Callithrix jacchus: one gene and its partner. The protein of the gene in region 1 interacts with the protein of each later gene in a pairwise test. Links are inferred from orthologs where the notes say so. Each region holds a gene or a part of one and is shown on either strand. Other genes may lie near its edges. The genes, in order: MOCOS and PARVA.

Region 1 (3,812 bases):
GGGTCTTCCTGTAGAATCTGGGCTGATTTGTGCCTCGCTCATAGCCAACAGATGCTGGGAGGGTGACACTGCATGGCTTCTAAGGCTAGATCAGAAGGGGCGTTGCCATGTTGGCTTTGTTCCCTGGGACACTAGCTTTGGAGCCTGGAATTACCCTGTCAGTTACCGTCTTGTGCCCTGAGGCTGCCATGCATGCTGCAAGGATGCCAAGTCACACAGAGAAGCCAAGCTCAGGACTGTGGCTGGCAATCCTAATTCTGGAGCCCTCCCAGCCTGGGGACCAGAAAGACCCAGGAGTAAAGGAGTCTCCAGATGATCTCAGCCCCCAGATGCCAAACTACTCCCAGCCTTTGAGTCTTCCTAGCTGAGACTCCAGACATTTTAAGACAGAGAGGAGATATCTCCTCCGTGCCCTGTTTGAATTCGTCCCACACTGTAGCCATGAGCCCCATAAAATGGTGATTGTTTTATTATCTCTAATTTTGGTGGCCTGCTTCACAACAAAGGTAACTGGTTTTGAATACGGGGGAGTGGGCGATGGGGGCCACAGGGATTCTAATTCAGCCTAGTGGCAGCTGGACTGGGGGTCAGGGGTCTCCCCAGGGTTGCCTTGTGAAGCTAAACTTGATGCTGGAGATGGAGTTGGCCGGGCCCAGTAGGGTGGCCAGGACTCACCTCACAGAGCCAGGAAACTCCTAAATTCACTAGCAGGTCTGCATGCCAGCGGACCCTTAGCCAAGAGTGAAGAAACAGAATTGTTCATCTGAAGCCTCTCAGTTCAACCCAGAGAATGGCTTCTTCTCACTGACACACCAGAGGGGACGGCCAAGGTGAAGACTGCCCTGTCTTGATAAGAGTTTGTGGGAGGCATCATTGTCCAGCCATGATCCCTGGCTGACCGCACAGTGACCTCTGGCCACCCCATATGTGACTTCCCAGGGAGAAAAGTTCAAAGGCTCAACTATTGAGCAAGATGTGTTTGTTTTCCTGAATGCAGTTCAATGGCTCCTCCTGTGAAGTCAGCCTGAGCACCAGGGCAAGGACTCTCACTGGGCCCCCAGGCCCTTGAGGGAATGGAGTCCTTGACTCAGGCCTGGAGGAGCTGGGGCAGACATCCCCCAGGACTCATGTGAATGCCAACCTTTCCCAGAGCCTCCAGAGGGCAGGAAAGAGCTGTGGAAACTGCTGGACTGAATGGCAATTCCGTGATTAAACCCAAAGTTGGAGAAAGTGGGAAAAGCAAATCAATCATGCTCAGCATGGACACAGTAACACGTGGAGTCCAGGCTGCGAGCTGAGGCGGGGCTACTTGGAACGGCACTTTCACGGGGCCTACCCTGTGGTCCAAACCATGCAGCTGATGCCAAGAAGCTACCATCTCCAGCCTCACTGAAACATTTTATACAGTGTTTAACAAGCCTGTGGTACATCGTGGCATTTTAGAGGACAATTCCAGGCTCATATCTTTATTTTATTATTAGGAAACAGAGGTCTAAATGCCGATATGAAGCTCTCTCAGAGTAAAACTGCACATTGGTAACAGCTTATTCTATGTTACATTAAATCTGCAGGTGGACAAAATGGCCAGTCTTTACAACATCCATCTGCGAACTGGCTGCTTCTGCAACACTGGAGCCTGCCAGAGGCACCTGGGCATCAGCAGCGAGATGGTCAGGAAGCATTTTCAGGTTGGTACAGGGTTCTGCGGTCCAGATGCCGGTCAGCGAGACCCAGTGACACCTGTTACTACATGCGTGTCTGGAGTGGGGGCTGCTGCTGCAGACTCATTTCCCCATGCCTGCTCTGTGCATGTACAAAGGAAAAGGAATACAAAGAGAAAATGCTTCAAGAAGGCTGGGTGCCAGCTCACGCCTGTAATCCCAGTGCTTTGGGAGGCTAAGGCAGGTGGATCACCTGAGGTCAGGAGTTCAAGACCAGCCTGGCCAACATGGTGAAACCCTGTCTCTACTAAAGATACAAAAATTAGTCAGGCGTGATGGCATGTGCCTGTAATTCCAGCTACCTGGGAGGCAGAGGCAGGAGAATAGCTTGAGCCTGGGAGGCAGAGGGTTGCAGTAAGCCGAGTCAGTGCCATTGCATTCCAGCCTGGGCGATGGAGCAAGACTCTGTCTAAAATAAAATAAAATAAGCTTCAAGATATTATCTCTATTGCAGACTTTCTGATTAGTTTTTTACTTTGAGGCCAAACATTTAAAGGCAAGAGAGGGGAGTTAAGAAGGGATGTGTGAGGATGTGCCTTACCTGGTTCAGCCCTCCTGAGGTACAGCCTCCAGGTTACAGTTAGCCAGCTGCATCCAGGTTGGGTGCAGAGTGGAACTCTTCTTGGGCTCCAGGGATTCTGCATCTCCCAGAATCCCCACCCTCCCGGTCTCTCCCCTGGGCTGAGGTTTTTCACTTCAAGGTATAGCCTGTTTTAAACCATTGCACTGGGAATAATTTGAATGGCAAAGAGTCTTCATTGCTTTGAGTTTCTAACTTGAATTTCATTTGGTTGCCATGAAATATTGTATGTTATTGAAATAATGTATATACTAGATCCCAAGTAACCATGAACTGAGTTTTGTTTAAGAAGAAAGAGGGATAGGAGAGAAGGAGAGGGAGGAGATAGGAGAGGAAGGAGAAGAGGGGAGAGAGGGAGACGGAGGCTCAGAACACAAATAAACACAGCTCCAGATAGAATATTTGGCCCTGTGGAATGCTGTGGCTCCATTTCTTCGGGTGACTGAGCCGGATCCAGCACTGAGGAGATGTTTGGGGCAGCTCCATGCACTATGCTGACCAGTGACCAACACCAGGCAGCCGGGCTCAGAGAGTATGATCCTTCTGCCTTTCTTTCCCACCTCCCAGCAGGGGCCCTCAAGCTGACCTTGGCCTTCATAGTGGCCCCAGGCTGGTCATTTGCAGGGGCAGCATATCTGACTTTCCCTGTTGTCAAGGGGCAGCTCTCAGGGATGCAGGCCTCCCTTCAGTACTGACAGGCTCATGAGAGTGTCCAGTGATGTTTCTCCCATCTCAGTCCCGGGTAGACCCTGAGGTCAACCCCTCGGTGCTTCTGAAACTTCAGTGTGTGTTTTGACCCCTCTGTAAGCCAGCCCTGTGCCTGGCTCTAGGTAAATGTTTTCTATGAAGTGTTTCTATGAAACTTTTTAATGGCCTCTTTGAGATTGATATTGGTCTCAATTTACAGTTGAGCAAAATGAGATCCAGAAAGTGGTCCCCTGAGTGTACGGAGCTGACTCATGTCTCAGACACACAGCACATGTTAATGTTTCAGTTTTGTTTTCCTGGGTTAGTTTTAAAATTGACAAAATTTATTTTGAAAACCGTTTCCAATGTCTCTATGAGAAATGGGTTACTCTGGCTGGTGCATTTCTTTCTTATCCTAGGCTGGTCATGTCTGTGGGGACAATATGGACCTCATTGATGGGCATCCCACAGGATCTGTGAGGATTTCATTTGGATACATGTCAACGCTTGACGATGCCCAGGCCTTTCTCAGGTTCATCATAGACACCTGCCTGCACTCATCAGGGGGCTGGCCTATCTCTCAGGCCTGTGCTGACACCCGGGACTCTGAAGCCCCATCAGCAGAGGGCCAGGCTGATGTTGCACCTGCTGTCGTGCACAGACATAGCCTCTCGCCTCGGGAAGATGCCCTCACAGGCTCCAGGGTTTGGAACAACTCACCCACTGCTGTGAATGCTGCGCCTGTGGCCCCACCTGTATGTGATGTCACCAGAATCCAGCAGACTCCTTCAGAGAAAGCTGCAGGAGTCCTGGAGGGGGCCCTT
Region 2 (3,812 bases), on another chromosome or scaffold:
GAAAAACCTGGAAATCGGGCACAGGACAGATCCTGCAGCAGCACTTCTGCTCGCGCCCTGATCCCCGCAATCCCATATGCACGGCATGTGTGGGATTTGATTCTTTTCTTCCCCTGGCTGTGCAGTTGGCATCTCACAAAGGGTCTCCCAAGACCGAGCAGCTGCACCAAGCCCCACCTTCCCCAGCAGTGGAGGCTTCAGAAAATGCTTCCCTCTGCTACAAAATCTGAGTACTTGCATGCAGGGAGAGGGTCTCATTCTGTTGTCACAAACTCAGGAAAGAGCAAAGTACCTTCTGGCCGTGGTTTTGGCTTTTCCAACCCTCCGTCTTGCATGAGCTCAAAGGCAAAGGAGACATTCAAGACCTGGCAAGAGAAATGCCGAAAGTATGCGCCATTGCACACCCAGGAGCCCTGGGACCTGACCTCGGGAAGTGAAGGAGCCTAGCACTGTAGCTAGAGGGGCAGTGGCAGAACTAATTTCAAGGAAAAATATGGCTACCTAAATGGGCAGGCCACAAGGAAAGTGAGCTAGCTTATCCTAGCTTACTATTGGAGAAGCTCAAAACCCTCTTCATATCCTACTGTGTTCCTGTGTAAACTGCCAGGACTTCAAACTGGGGGTGTCAGCGCACACGTTGGGAAGAATCAGATGGCAGGACACGTTCAACAGGCAGAGCAGGCTTTCTGCTGTGGACCAAATGCCTGTGTGTAGTGAGGAGGATGTGGCAGCCTAGGAGAGGCCATCAGAACCAGGCTAAGTGTGAGCCTCAGGTATGACCAGCTTCATAGCCACTTTCCTTGTCATCTCTGCGGAGAGATGAGTCAGGGCTGGGGCACTTGACAGGAACACAGGGCAGGGGACCAGGGCCAGGCTTCAAGGGAAGGGAGAGGCAGTCAGGGATGCCCAGTGGTCTGCAGGTAGCTCCTTCCCAGCTCAGCTCTTATCATAATGGGCCCCACCTCCAGGCACTGAAGACCTTGGACAGAGGGGAAGCTCTGCCTTTTTCTGGATAGCCTCAGTGTGGGTGTGGGCAGATGAGCTGGGGATGTGGGCTAGAGGGCCTCCCTTGATGTCCTTCTACTTACCTTCTGTTCGAAGCTGTCCGGGGTCAGGAAGAAGCTGTGCAGGGGCACAAAGTAGCCCTCCAGGAGCCCCATAAGCAGCACCAGGTATACCCCATCTGCAAACTGGAGGGAGAGCCAGCTGATGGCACTGGCCCCTCAGCCTCCCAGCCAATCCCCATCCAGGGGGCCCATCAGCTTCCGTGCTATGCCACCTGAAGCCTACCACCCTAGGCAGGCTGCTAGCTGGGGGATAGGGGAGGTGGCCTGAGACAAGGAGGTCCGCTCTGCCCCATGTCTGGCTGGCCCAGCACAGGAGCCACAAACCCATGGCTCTGATTTTAGCTGACCCAGCATTTACTGAGCAGAGGCTGTGTACCAACTCCCTGTCTAGGCATGGGGACCAGAGTGTGGGGGGTCAGAGTGGCTCCTGCCCTGGAGGAGTGGACAGTCTAATCGGGAAACGTGTGGGGGCAATGCACAGCTGCTCCGATGGAAGGAAGCACGGTGGCTTGAGTGGGGTTAAGAAAAGTCACCCATAAGCACCGAAGGCATCAGAGGAGTCTTCCGGAGGGGAAAGCATCTAAGTCGAGGGCTCAGGAAGAGCAAGACTGACTAGAGTGGGGCAGAGGGAGGAGGGGGAGGTGATGTCCACAGTGAATGGCATGAGGCTCCTGGGGTGATCTGTGCTTTCCGAACAGAGAAAGGCCAAGTGTCACACAGGCCTAGGCACTCTTCTTTCTCCCATCTCTCTTCAGTATTACAGCAGCAGAGGGCAGCTGTTATGAATGTGGGCTCTGAGGTCCAGCCTCCCCAGTGCAAATTCCAGCTCTCTCACCTACCAGCTGTGTGCCTTGGGCAAGTTATGTCACTTCTCTGTAATCACATCTCTCATCTGTGAAACCGGGATGGTAATAGTATAGTATCTACATCACAGAGTTATCATGAGGACCAAGCCAGTTAATACATGGACAGGGCCTGTAAACTGCTTAGTGTGCAGTATTGAACAAATATTAACTATTGCTATTACTGTGTGGGAAAACAACAAAGCAATCGGGACACGACTTACTGGCTCTTGCTGGCAGATGTAGAACTATGTGCTGAGGGCCCTGGCAAGAGGCTTGGAGCCCGGTCCCTTCCTAGGTAGAAGAGGCCAGATGGGTTGCGAAACCAGGCCTAAGGGACAGGAGAGTCCTCGGCTAATTGCGGAGGCTGCCGGTCTTCTGCTCAGGGCTGAGGGTGAGGTAGGCATATACTGAGCGCTCAGGGCAGGCTTGTGGAGGCCGTGGAGGCCGGGACGATGGACCTTGGGAAGAGTAGGGGGTCTATGCAAAGACACAGAGGCCAGATGTACATCAGACATTCTAGAACCCTTTCAAAGGAGCTGGGCCACCAAATGTTTGTGAGTGTAAACAGCAGCTAGGGTTCATAGAAGGCCAAATTTCTTGGAATCATCTTAGGAGCCCAGAGGCTGCTCAGAGAGCTTTCCTGGTAGCCAGCTGGCCAGGCTGTGGCTCAGCCTTCATTAAGGGCAGAAGACCCTGAGCTTGGGCTTGCCTTAAAGGCAGCTTCTGGCTGAGTGCAGTGGTTCATGCCTGCAATCGCAGCATTTTGGGAGGCTGAGGCGGGCGGATTGCTTGAACTCAGGAGTTCAAGACCAGCCTGGGCAACATGGTGAAACCCTGTCTTTACTAAAAATACAAAAAAATTAGCTGGGTGTGATGGTGCATGCCTGTAGTCCCAGCTGCTTAGGAGGCTGGGCGGGGGGTGGGAGGATCACCTGAACCTGGGAAGTCAAGGATGTAGTGAGCCGTGATCGTGCCACTGCACTCCAGCCTGGATGACGGCAGTGAGACCCTGTCTCAAAAACAAAAGGGTAGCTCCTCCCAGCTTCCATCCATCAGACCTGCAGCTCAGGTGGAAAGGGCCTGAGCTTGACTCACCCTAGGTGGACATGGGAGAGCAGACCCCAGAGTCTGTCAAAATCAAGGCCCTTATGGTGGGAGCTGAGCAACTAGGCTTCATTCCAGCAATGGTGAGAAGGAGTTAGGAGTAAAAATATCCAATCTGTGGTTAGGGTTGGGGTCACTCACAGCTCTGAGTGCCAGGCTTAGACTGCTCCCCACCTCCCCTGGCTGGTTCTGCTGACTTGGTAGGAATAGCAGATCAAACTGCAGGGACCCAAAGAGCTTGGCAGTCACCCCTGTCATAGCACTCCCTGCCCTGAGTCCATTGCAGCTCACTCAAGGAAGCATCACTTTTCTAGAACGTTCTTTATTTCCTACAAGAGTGTATGAAGCTGATTTCACAGTCTAGACAAACTCAGGTGGAGCTCAACGACAGACTGGCATTTGCCTTTAAAATAAAAGGAGGTATCCAGCTGATTAAGAGAGAAGCACAAGGCAGAAGTTCACCAAGAAAGAAAGGGGGTGGAGAAGAAGGATTCATCAGTCTCAAAGTATCTCCCCAGTAAAGATTAGTTAAGTATAAAGGGAGGAAAAATAACTTTATAGTAGGGAAATCTGGTGAACACCACCCTAACCAAATAATCCAAGTTATCACTAGCAATGGGGATAATGGACAGAGTGCCTCCTCCTGTGATGCCCTGGGAAGAACACAGCCTTACTTGGGGAGTGCTCTTAATGAAAATGCATGACCTGAATCTAGTATGCGAGGGAAAGACAGTCTATAAACCAACTGGCCTGAACGCTTCAAAAGGTGTCAATGCCATGACAAGAAAGGCCAAGG

Evidence for each region.
Region 2: the proteins of MOCOS (region 1) and PARVA interact in binary tests that used the Homo sapiens proteins (3 or more experiments, as listed by UniProt). The two-hybrid records come from large-scale screens. The link is inferred for Callithrix jacchus from reciprocal best matches to the Homo sapiens genes MOCOS and PARVA.

What each region holds. Positions count from the first base shown.
Region 1 is NC_133514.1:79,318,447-79,322,258, forward strand, and holds part of MOCOS (molybdenum cofactor sulfurase), read left to right. Parts: intron 1-1,571; coding exon 1,572-1,688; intron 1,689-3,407; coding exon 3,408-3,812. UniProt on the Homo sapiens protein: Sulfurates the molybdenum cofactor. Sulfation of molybdenum is essential for xanthine dehydrogenase (XDH) and aldehyde oxidase (ADO) enzymes in which molybdenum cofactor is liganded by 1 oxygen and 1 sulfur atom in active form.
Region 2 is NC_133511.1:78,411,906-78,415,717, reverse strand, and holds part of PARVA (alpha-parvin), read right to left. Parts: intron 1,191-3,812; coding exon 1,089-1,190; intron 366-1,088; coding exon 293-365; intron 1-292. UniProt on the Homo sapiens protein: Plays a role in sarcomere organization and in smooth muscle cell contraction. Required for normal development of the embryonic cardiovascular system, and for normal septation of the heart outflow tract.